2 linked regions of the Sus scrofa genome follow. The protein of the gene in region 1 binds, or shares a complex with, the protein of each later gene. Links are inferred from orthologs where the notes say so. Each region holds a gene or a part of one and is shown on either strand. Other genes may lie near its edges. The genes, in order: PTAR1 and RABGGTB.

The links.
Region 2: the proteins of PTAR1 (region 1) and RABGGTB are in contact, whole or in part, in a crystal structure (PDB 6O60), measured with the Homo sapiens proteins. The link is inferred for Sus scrofa from reciprocal best matches to the Homo sapiens genes PTAR1 and RABGGTB. Residues at the interface, in NP_001093136.1 of Homo sapiens: Val61, Lys62, Leu65, Pro66, His69, Leu73, Arg76, Leu97, Asn98, Asp100, Phe101, Thr102, Thr103, Asn106, Lys109, Glu110, Leu113, Ile141, Arg144, Trp145, Pro192, Ser193, Tyr195, Ser199, Ile202, Trp203, Gln206, Val231, Ser232, His234; in NP_004573.2 of Homo sapiens: Lys6, Asp36, Tyr37, Cys40, Met41, Glu43, Tyr44, Ile89, Gly90, His91, Asp92, Asp136, Trp138, Glu140, Phe177, Asp178, Gly182, Cys183, Arg184, Pro185, Gly186, Ser187, Glu188, Ser189, His190, Gln193, Trp217, Glu221, Arg222, Pro225.

Annotation. Positions count from the first base shown.
Region 1 is NC_010443.5:223,037,453-223,041,272, forward strand, and holds part of PTAR1 (protein prenyltransferase alpha subunit repeat-containing protein 1), read right to left. Parts: intron 3,104-3,820; coding exon 2,799-3,103; intron 508-2,798; coding exon 165-507; 3' UTR 1-164.
Region 2 is NC_010448.4:137,531,150-137,535,708, reverse strand, and holds the start of RABGGTB (geranylgeranyl transferase type-2 subunit beta), read left to right. Parts: upstream 1-1,576; 5' UTR 1,577-1,594; coding exon 1,595-1,597; intron 1,598-1,599; exon of another isoform or gene 1,600-1,680; intron 1,681-2,971; coding exon 2,972-3,079; intron 3,080-3,634; coding exon 3,635-3,832; intron 3,833-4,559. UniProt on the Homo sapiens protein: Catalyzes the transfer of a geranylgeranyl moiety from geranylgeranyl diphosphate to both cysteines of Rab proteins with the C-terminal sequence -XXCC, -XCXC and -CCXX, such as RAB1A, RAB3A, RAB5A and RAB7A.

The sequences.
Region 1 (3,820 bases):
TAAATAAAATGAAAGATGTATTATGGACTTTGAACCTAAAGATGAAGAACACATAGTTAGCTATAGTTAGCCAAGAATAGCAAACAGTTCATGCAACTATGTAAATAAGAAAGGAAAGCAATATTGCACTAAAAGGGGAACCTTGCAGGACTAATCCACCTCTTTCATTGACTCAACGTAACCAGCCACTTCCTGTATGCATTGGCAAATCTGGCCTGCTCTACATTCCGGCAGGTGGACAATACTTGATCAATGAACCTGTGCTCCATTTCCAGGCCTAGGGAGTCTGGAGCTGGGGTCCGCTTCAGGCGTTTGGTTTCCTGGGAATAGCCTTGCTTGCTAGAGTCACTGAGTCCATCCACCTCCATTGCCTGAGATGTGTGGGGGCCTGCTGGGATGAGGTGCAAGTCACTCAAAGTCCCCCTAGGGCTGTCTGCAGGTGACAACTGGGTCATGCTGTGAGGAAACCTACTATTTAAGTGATGCTGAAGGTAGAAAATATGCCGCCTGTGAAACATAAGGAGGAGGAAGAGAAGAAAGGAGAAATCAGATTACAAGGTCAAGCTCTTCAGAAAAAACAAAAAAATAGTTGATAACTTCAAAGTATACAGTACTCAGTTCACTGCCCCATTCGTAACTCAGAGCTATCTGGGGGAAGGAGAAAAAAGTGTTAATACAGTTAATACAACCCCAAAGGTTTTTTAAAAAACAGTGACCCAGATGATGACAATCACCTGGAGTTGTTACTCTTTGTAATTATAATATGAAATGAGAAAAAGGTCTTAGTCCAATCTCTGGAATAAATTAAAATATAAAACAAAACCAAAAATTAACCTCAGTAATACCCTAAAAGACAAGTGATTTTCAGGAGTTCCCTTTGTGGTTCACCAAAAACAAATCTGACCAGTATCTATGAGGACAGAGGTTTGATCCCTGGCCTCAGTGGGTTAAGGATCTAGCATTGCTGTGGCTATGGAGCAGGCCAGCAGCTACAGCTTCGACTCAACCCCTAGCTTGGGAATCTCCATAAGCCGCGGGTGCGGCCCTGAAAAAAAAATAAAAATAAAAAATAAAAAAATAAAAGTGATTTTCAGAAATAAGAGGATTAAATAGCTCCTCTAAAGGGCTCAGTCGATGGCCTCTATCCATTACTTTCTTTAATAAGAACAGAACTGCTGCAGTTGGTCTTATTAACTAAAAACCCTAAATTTTTAGTTAATAAGGGTGATGAATTTTCCCCTAAAGCCATCACTGTAGTTTCATTAAACATCCACATGTGGTAGGGATGTACTGGGCTTTGAGAAAAGTATGTTAAAAGACACAGTTCCTGTTCCCCTTCTAAGGAGAGTTCTCCTATCCTTAGAATCATCTGGAGTGATTTGTTAAAAATGAAGATCCATGTGCTTAATCTCCAAATATTGTGACTATCTGGGTGCATATCTGCTGTACACAATGAGGTAAACTACATAGGCTCTAGGTATTATACCTCATTCATATTAGCAACTCTAAGCCCTTAAAAGAGAATTATATTCATTTTCTCAGCTTATTCTGGAGCAGACAAGGGAGTATATAATATAAAATATAACTATTTTACAGAGAATAAAATTTAAAGGACAGATAAGCTGCATAAAGGTACTGAATCAGTAGAAAAGTAGCCTGTATAATATTGGCATCCCAACTGTCTCTTCTCCCCCCTCCAAGCCCCAATTAATCTTTATGTGAACAAAAAGAAGTCTGTTCTAATAATCAAGTTATCCCTCAAACAAAAATATAATTTTTAATATTCTCTAAGCCTTGTCATTAATGTGTCTAAATATAAAATAGCAATAAAAATCTGCAACACCAAAATAACATACAAGTCAAGATTTATCTTCTCTACTAAAAGCGTGGATTAAGAGTGTCTTATTTTTAAGAGAAAAAGAAAATTCTGTATTTATTAAGGTGCCAAAGAGGGGAGACTGTCTTCCATCTTCTAATATATCTTCCAAATATATTTAGACTGGAAAAAGGGAATGAATCTCAATTAACTTTAAAAATAAACAATAAAATGCCTACCTCTGCCTAGCACAGGCAAGTCTTTTGCCTACAACAAAATCCTATGACCTGACATAAAATCTATCTATCTATCTATCTATCTATCTATCTATGCCAGAGATGCCTCCAACTAAATGATAAGCCCAAATAAACCTATCGGGGGGTTTGTATTCCTGGATTTCATTGACTTCAACATGGAAATTACTTTCAAATGTACTCAAAACTCAAGTCATGGGGTTGCTTACCCTCTTTTACTCCTTCCTAATAATCCTCATCCACTCTGAAAGTACACTTTACTCTAAAAAAAGTGTCAGGAGATTATATTTAAGGTAAGTTAATTTGAGGACAAGCAGCTTAACTGTTCAGAGTATAATCAATGGTCTCAAAACCCTTACATGCAACAGATTTATCTGTTTGGGATTTTCCTTTATTTTTAAAAAACAGAGGGCAGGACTCCATCCGAGATATGCTAAGTATCAATCAATCTCTAAGGAGGGAGTCCAGAAACTTTTTTTAGTTTGGAAAAAACACACGTTATTCTGTTGCAATCAGGGATGAATACCACCATCTTGAGCAGTGGGCATATTGATGATGACCAGGAGGAGGAGGATACACTCACACAAACTCCTCTGAATCACTCAAAGCACCACAATCATCAGATGACCATATTTATCCAAGTAGGCAGGAGTCAGATCTAAGACTTCTATAGCTCTCAAAAGGATACAGACAGTTTCATGCAGGAAACATATCTTCCCTTTTCTTACCTATGACACCAAAGGGTTTCATGTCCTGGGTAGGAATCAATAAGATCAGTGCTGAATTCAACTTCTTCTTCTAGAAGATGGGGAAGATTTATCCTTGATTCCTCTGCTGAAGCCACTGCTTCTTCACCTTTTGGAAGAACTATGCCTGGCTCACTTCTCAAAGGATTTTGCTCCGATATAGAACCATCTGTCACAGTTTGGCTAATCAAAGATTTTAATAAAAACTGGCGGTAGTGAAATCCACTGTGGTCTGAAACATGCATGGACGCCCAGTGTTTAGTAGAAGACAGTTCATCAAGAAGAATCTTGTTGGAAGAAAAACAGAAAATAAAATGAGGAATTGCCAAAGGTTTTATTTTCTCCATTAATGTTTTGCATTTCTCTTTGACTCATTCTTTGTTTTGACAACACCATTCCTACCTATATTTTTGTGTACAATCTCCAAGAGTGTTGTCAGAGAAAGCTCAGTAAATACCAGTTTTCCCTTTCCTTTATAAAGTAATGGATTTTTTTTTTAAATATCACAGAATTTAAGGTCCTTTCCTGGACCTTGATCAATCACATTCTGACTGGCACACACATAGAAAAGTCAGATCCTAAAATAATGATAGACATTTGGGTATTCATTTTCAAGTAATGCTTATGAAGGGAAAAATGTAAAATCAGGTCACTTTGATGGAAACTTCCTTTTGCATTTTATGAATCTGTACCATATCTAACTTACTATTTGTTCAACAACAGACTCAATATAATCATTTTTTCTTCACTGTAAGTGTCATCAGTGCAGAGACCATGTGTGTTTTGTTGACTACTTAATTCTAAGGGTTCAGTACAAAAACACGATGCATAAATAATAGGAATTTTCAAGTGATTGTCACTTTCACTATTTGTTGCAAACTTACTTAACATCAATGATAAATGGCTTTTTAAAGTAAAGACAAAATTCAGCAGTGAATTGTTTAAATCTTTGTAATATTAATCCTGCCCATTAAAGAATTTCAAATGGAATGATACAGGTTTTG
Region 2 (4,559 bases), on another chromosome or scaffold:
AGGGTCCAATTGGAGGTGTAACTGCTGGTCTACACCACAGCCACAGCAATGTCAGATCCAAGCCACATCTGTGACCTACACCACAGCTCACAGCAATGCAGGATCCTTAACACACTGAGCAAGGCCAGGGATCAAACCTGTGAACCCACAGATAGTAGACAGGTTTGTTAACCACTGAGCCACGACAGGAACTCCAAAGAAGAATTTTTCTGGGGGGAGGGGTCTTTTCTGGGGCCACACTGACAGCATATGGAGGTTCCTAGGCTAGGGGTCGAATCCAAGCTGTAGCTTCAGGCCTAGGCCAGAGCCACAGCAGTGCAAGATCTGAGCCATGTCTGCAGTCTACACCACAGCTCACGGCAATGCCGGATCCTCAACCCACTGAGCGAGGCCAGGGATCAAACCCACAACTTCATGGTTCCACTGAGCCATGACGGGAACTCCCAAGGAATAATTTTTAAGATAAAAATTATTAGGGCTAGAAACATCATCACTTAATGATAAGTGGCTTGACTCACCAGAAATAGATAGTTCTAAACTTAACATGCATTTAGTAATACATGTTATCCTAGCCTCAAACTATACCTGGGGATAGCAATTGAACTAAGAGAGAAATAATGAAATCTATCATCATAGTGGATTCAATATTTTCTCAGTTATTGATAGCTCACACATATCTCTGCGTAAGGAATTCTTCCCCAAATTCTTACTTTTCAGGTTTTTTTTTTTCGTCTTTTGAGGGCCACACCCTTGGCATATGGACGTTCCCACGTTAGGGGTCTAATTGGAGCCATAGCTGCCAGCCTACGCCACAGGCAAGCCAGATCCCAGCGGAGCAAGGTCTGCGACCTACACCACACCTCCAGTGGAGGCAACGCTGGATCCTTAACCCACTGAGCGAAGCCAGGCATATAATCCACAACCTCGTGGTTCCTAGTTGGGTTTGTTTCTGCTTCGCCATGATGGGAACTCCTGAAAAAAAAAAAAATTTAAGAGTAGGTGCCAGTATTTTCTGGTAGGTGCTCAAAATACTTTTAAGGATTAAAGTCCTAAGAAAGCACAGTTACAAATAGCTGCATTAACACACCTAGCAAAGCTGAATTCGATGGAAAGCTTATAAGAAGCATAACGGTGTTTCCTTTTCAAAAACAATCTCCAAATATTGCAAATATTAGAACTTCCTGAAAGAGGAGGGAGTAGGTGAGAGTTAGCTAATAAGAGCTGAATGTGAATATTTATTGCACACGTAATTACGGTGCAACTCTATTTATTACCAGGCATTTCAAAGATCCTCAACAATAAACGATTTCTTAAAAGTTATGCAGATATTTAAACATTACTTAAAACAGTTTTAGATAAAACGGCGGTGTTTAAGGGACAAGAAAACGGGCTTAGAGACTTTAAGCACAGGCAGCGAGGACAGCCATGAGCAGCCGATGGGGTCCTAGAGCAGCCTCGGGATCCCTCTTTCCTTCAGGCGGGAATGTGGTCACCTAAGTCTGGGCGCGGAGGGGACCTGAGAGACGCTTCTGGGCAGGCGCGTGCTGCCTAAATCCGCCCACGAAAGAGCCAAGTTCTCTTTTCGCTGTCAGACATGGTGAGTGTGGACGTGTATTGCATTGCTGTCCGGATGGCTCGGGAGGAGCCTGGGAAGGGTGATATTAAGCATTTTAGTCACCGGTGGGTTGTTTACTAAATATTGGAGAATGGTCGCGTTAAGATAGAGGTCTTGGGAGTATTTTTGAGAGCGGGAGAGAGGGTGAAGTATTATTCAGCGTTTTCTGCAGGCCTTGCATGCGTCGTTGCCGCCTCTGATTTTATTCAGACTTCCTGCTATCGGTCGGGCCTCCTGGTTCAACAACCGGATTTCTTAATTTCCTCCTAAAAACTGGGCAAGTCGGTAGTACCTTTTTCCTTCTATATGTAGGTTGAAGCATATATATATATATATATATATGTATGCGTTAGAATTATTATCCAATGTAATAAATGGAGTAATAAAATTAAAAAAGAATTATTTAAGATCTTTAGAATGATTAGCGGTACGATCTTGTTGACCTAGTAAATTTTAATGGGCAATGGGCTAGACAAGAAATTGACTATTATTTTTTTGTTTTGTTTTGTTTTCTTTTTAGGGCTGCATCCATGGCATAGGAAAGTTACCAGGCTAGGGGTCCAATCAGAACTGTAGCTGCTGGCTTATGATACAGCCACAGCAATGTGGGATCCAGGCCTAATCTGCGACCTACACAACTCGGAGCAGTGCCTGATCCCTAACCCAATGAGGAAGGCCAGAGATCGAACCCACATCCTCATGGATGCTAGTTGGATTCTTTCTGCTGAGCCACAACGGGAACTCTGAGAAATTCACTATTTTATTATTGATAACTGTTGTGACCTACTTCAAATAAAACAGTAAAGTACAGTCTTAGATATAGATCAGAAATGTGGATAACTAGAGCAGCATTCTCGTCCCTTGGGGACTTGTTGCATTTGGGGAAACAGGCTAAAGCTGGAGAAGGTGAGTCTAAAGGGACTGCTTCCTTGATAAATAACCTTTGAGGTATATGGAAGGTGCTTCGAAGTTCCCAGAATTTATACAATTTCTAGAGTTAAACTTCATTAAAGCACTTAACTCAAATTATGGAATAAATAGATTTTTATTTTATTTTGGTGTTCTGTGTGAAAGATAAAGACAGATGAAGGTAGTATTTTTGGGTCGATGATGAGCTGGCATGTATTCTGAATCTAAAGTTGATTAGTACTACTTTAGCTCTAGAATTACTCTGAGACCTGAAAAATACTTGGATCTTTATGAAGGACTTTAGTGCCTTGGTTTTTCTTGGCCAGATAATTTTAAATTGAAAGTTTTCATTTGGCAACACGAAATAAAAAGTTCAGATGTATATTGAACACATGCTCTGGGGTCAAATATTAAGAGATAACTTATGAAATCAATTTATTGTGGAAGGGTACACCGCAGAAGGATGTCATTATCAAGTCAGATGCACCTGACACCCTATTCCTGGAGAAGCATGCAGATTATATTGCATCCTATGGCTCAAAGAAAGATGATTACGTATGTATGCTTTTATGTTGAAAAGTTTATACTCTTAAAGATGTAGACCATTCTGTAAATAGATCAGTATGGACCATGTTGGTATCTAACTCCTGCGTGCCAAAGCCTGAAGCTGTATCCTTGAGTATAGTGAATGCACCTTTGGATATCTGTTGAGGGACCATGGGAATTAACCATGTTTCTTACTTTGGTAGGCAAAGTAGATTCCCATTCGGCCCAGATCTGTATGAATTATGAAGTACGGACTAGATTACTATTTTTGTAGTTTAGACAATATTTTCAAGGTCAATGATGTGTTGGCATGTATTACCTGAGTTTACAGTGATGTGTAGTAACACTAAAGCTCTAGAATTACTCTGAGACCTTGAAAAAGTTCAGCCCTGAAGAATGGCTTTCCAAGTTTTCCTCTCTGGGACAGTCTTAGAAAAAATTAATGAACAACTTAATTGGAAGTAGATATTTTACCGGTGTAACAGTGGCTGTAGGGCTTTGTGTGTTCAGTATCTAAGCTGGCATCAATTCAAACTAACACAGTAAAGTAATTCTATATTTTAGGAATACTGTATGTCTGAATATCTGAGAATGAGTGGAATCTATTGGGGTCTGACCGTAATGGATCTCATGGGACAACTACACCGTATGAATAGAGAAGAAATTTTGGCATTTATTAAGTCGTGTCAACACGAGTGTGGTGGAATAAGTGCTAGCATTGGACATGATCCGCATCTTTTATATACTCTTAGTGCTGTCCAGGTAAATACTAAAAACTAAGCAGCCATGATAGTTTATTCTCTTACCTGAGAGTGGGGAAATTGAAACTAGGTATTAGGAAGGTGAGAGAAACCAGTATCTTTTCATATGACATCTATTCTACAAGGTCAATGATGTGATGGCATGTATTAGCTGAACCCGAAGTTGATGTAACTCTAAAATTACACTGAGACCTTGGTAAAGTATTTATTTTCAGTATATGTAAATATTTGAGAAATCGTCAGTGGACGTGTTTTTGTTTTAAGCAAGAAAAATCTTTGTTTAAGCCATGGAACTCTGGTTTATTAGCATATTGTATCCTATCCTGAAAGATATAACCTAAGTCTTATAATAGAAACTAGCATTTCTCAAAGAAAGTAGTATTTTCTTTTTTTTTTTTTTGGTCTTTATAGGGTTACACCCACAGCATGTGGAGCTTCCCAGGCTAGGGGTCAAATTAGAGCTACAGCTTTCAGTCTACGGCACAGGTACAGCAACTTAGGATCTGAGTGACATCTGCCACCTATACCACAGCCCACGGCAACACCCGATCCTTAACCCACTGAGCGAGGCCAGGGATTGAATCTGAAACCATGGTTCCTAGTCAGATTCTTTTCTGCTGTGCCACAACAGGAACTCCAGCAAGTAGTATTTTCTACAGAATTTCATGTGGAACATATTCAAAGAGAATAACATAACGGATTATATAAATTGGCCAAAGCCCGTTTAC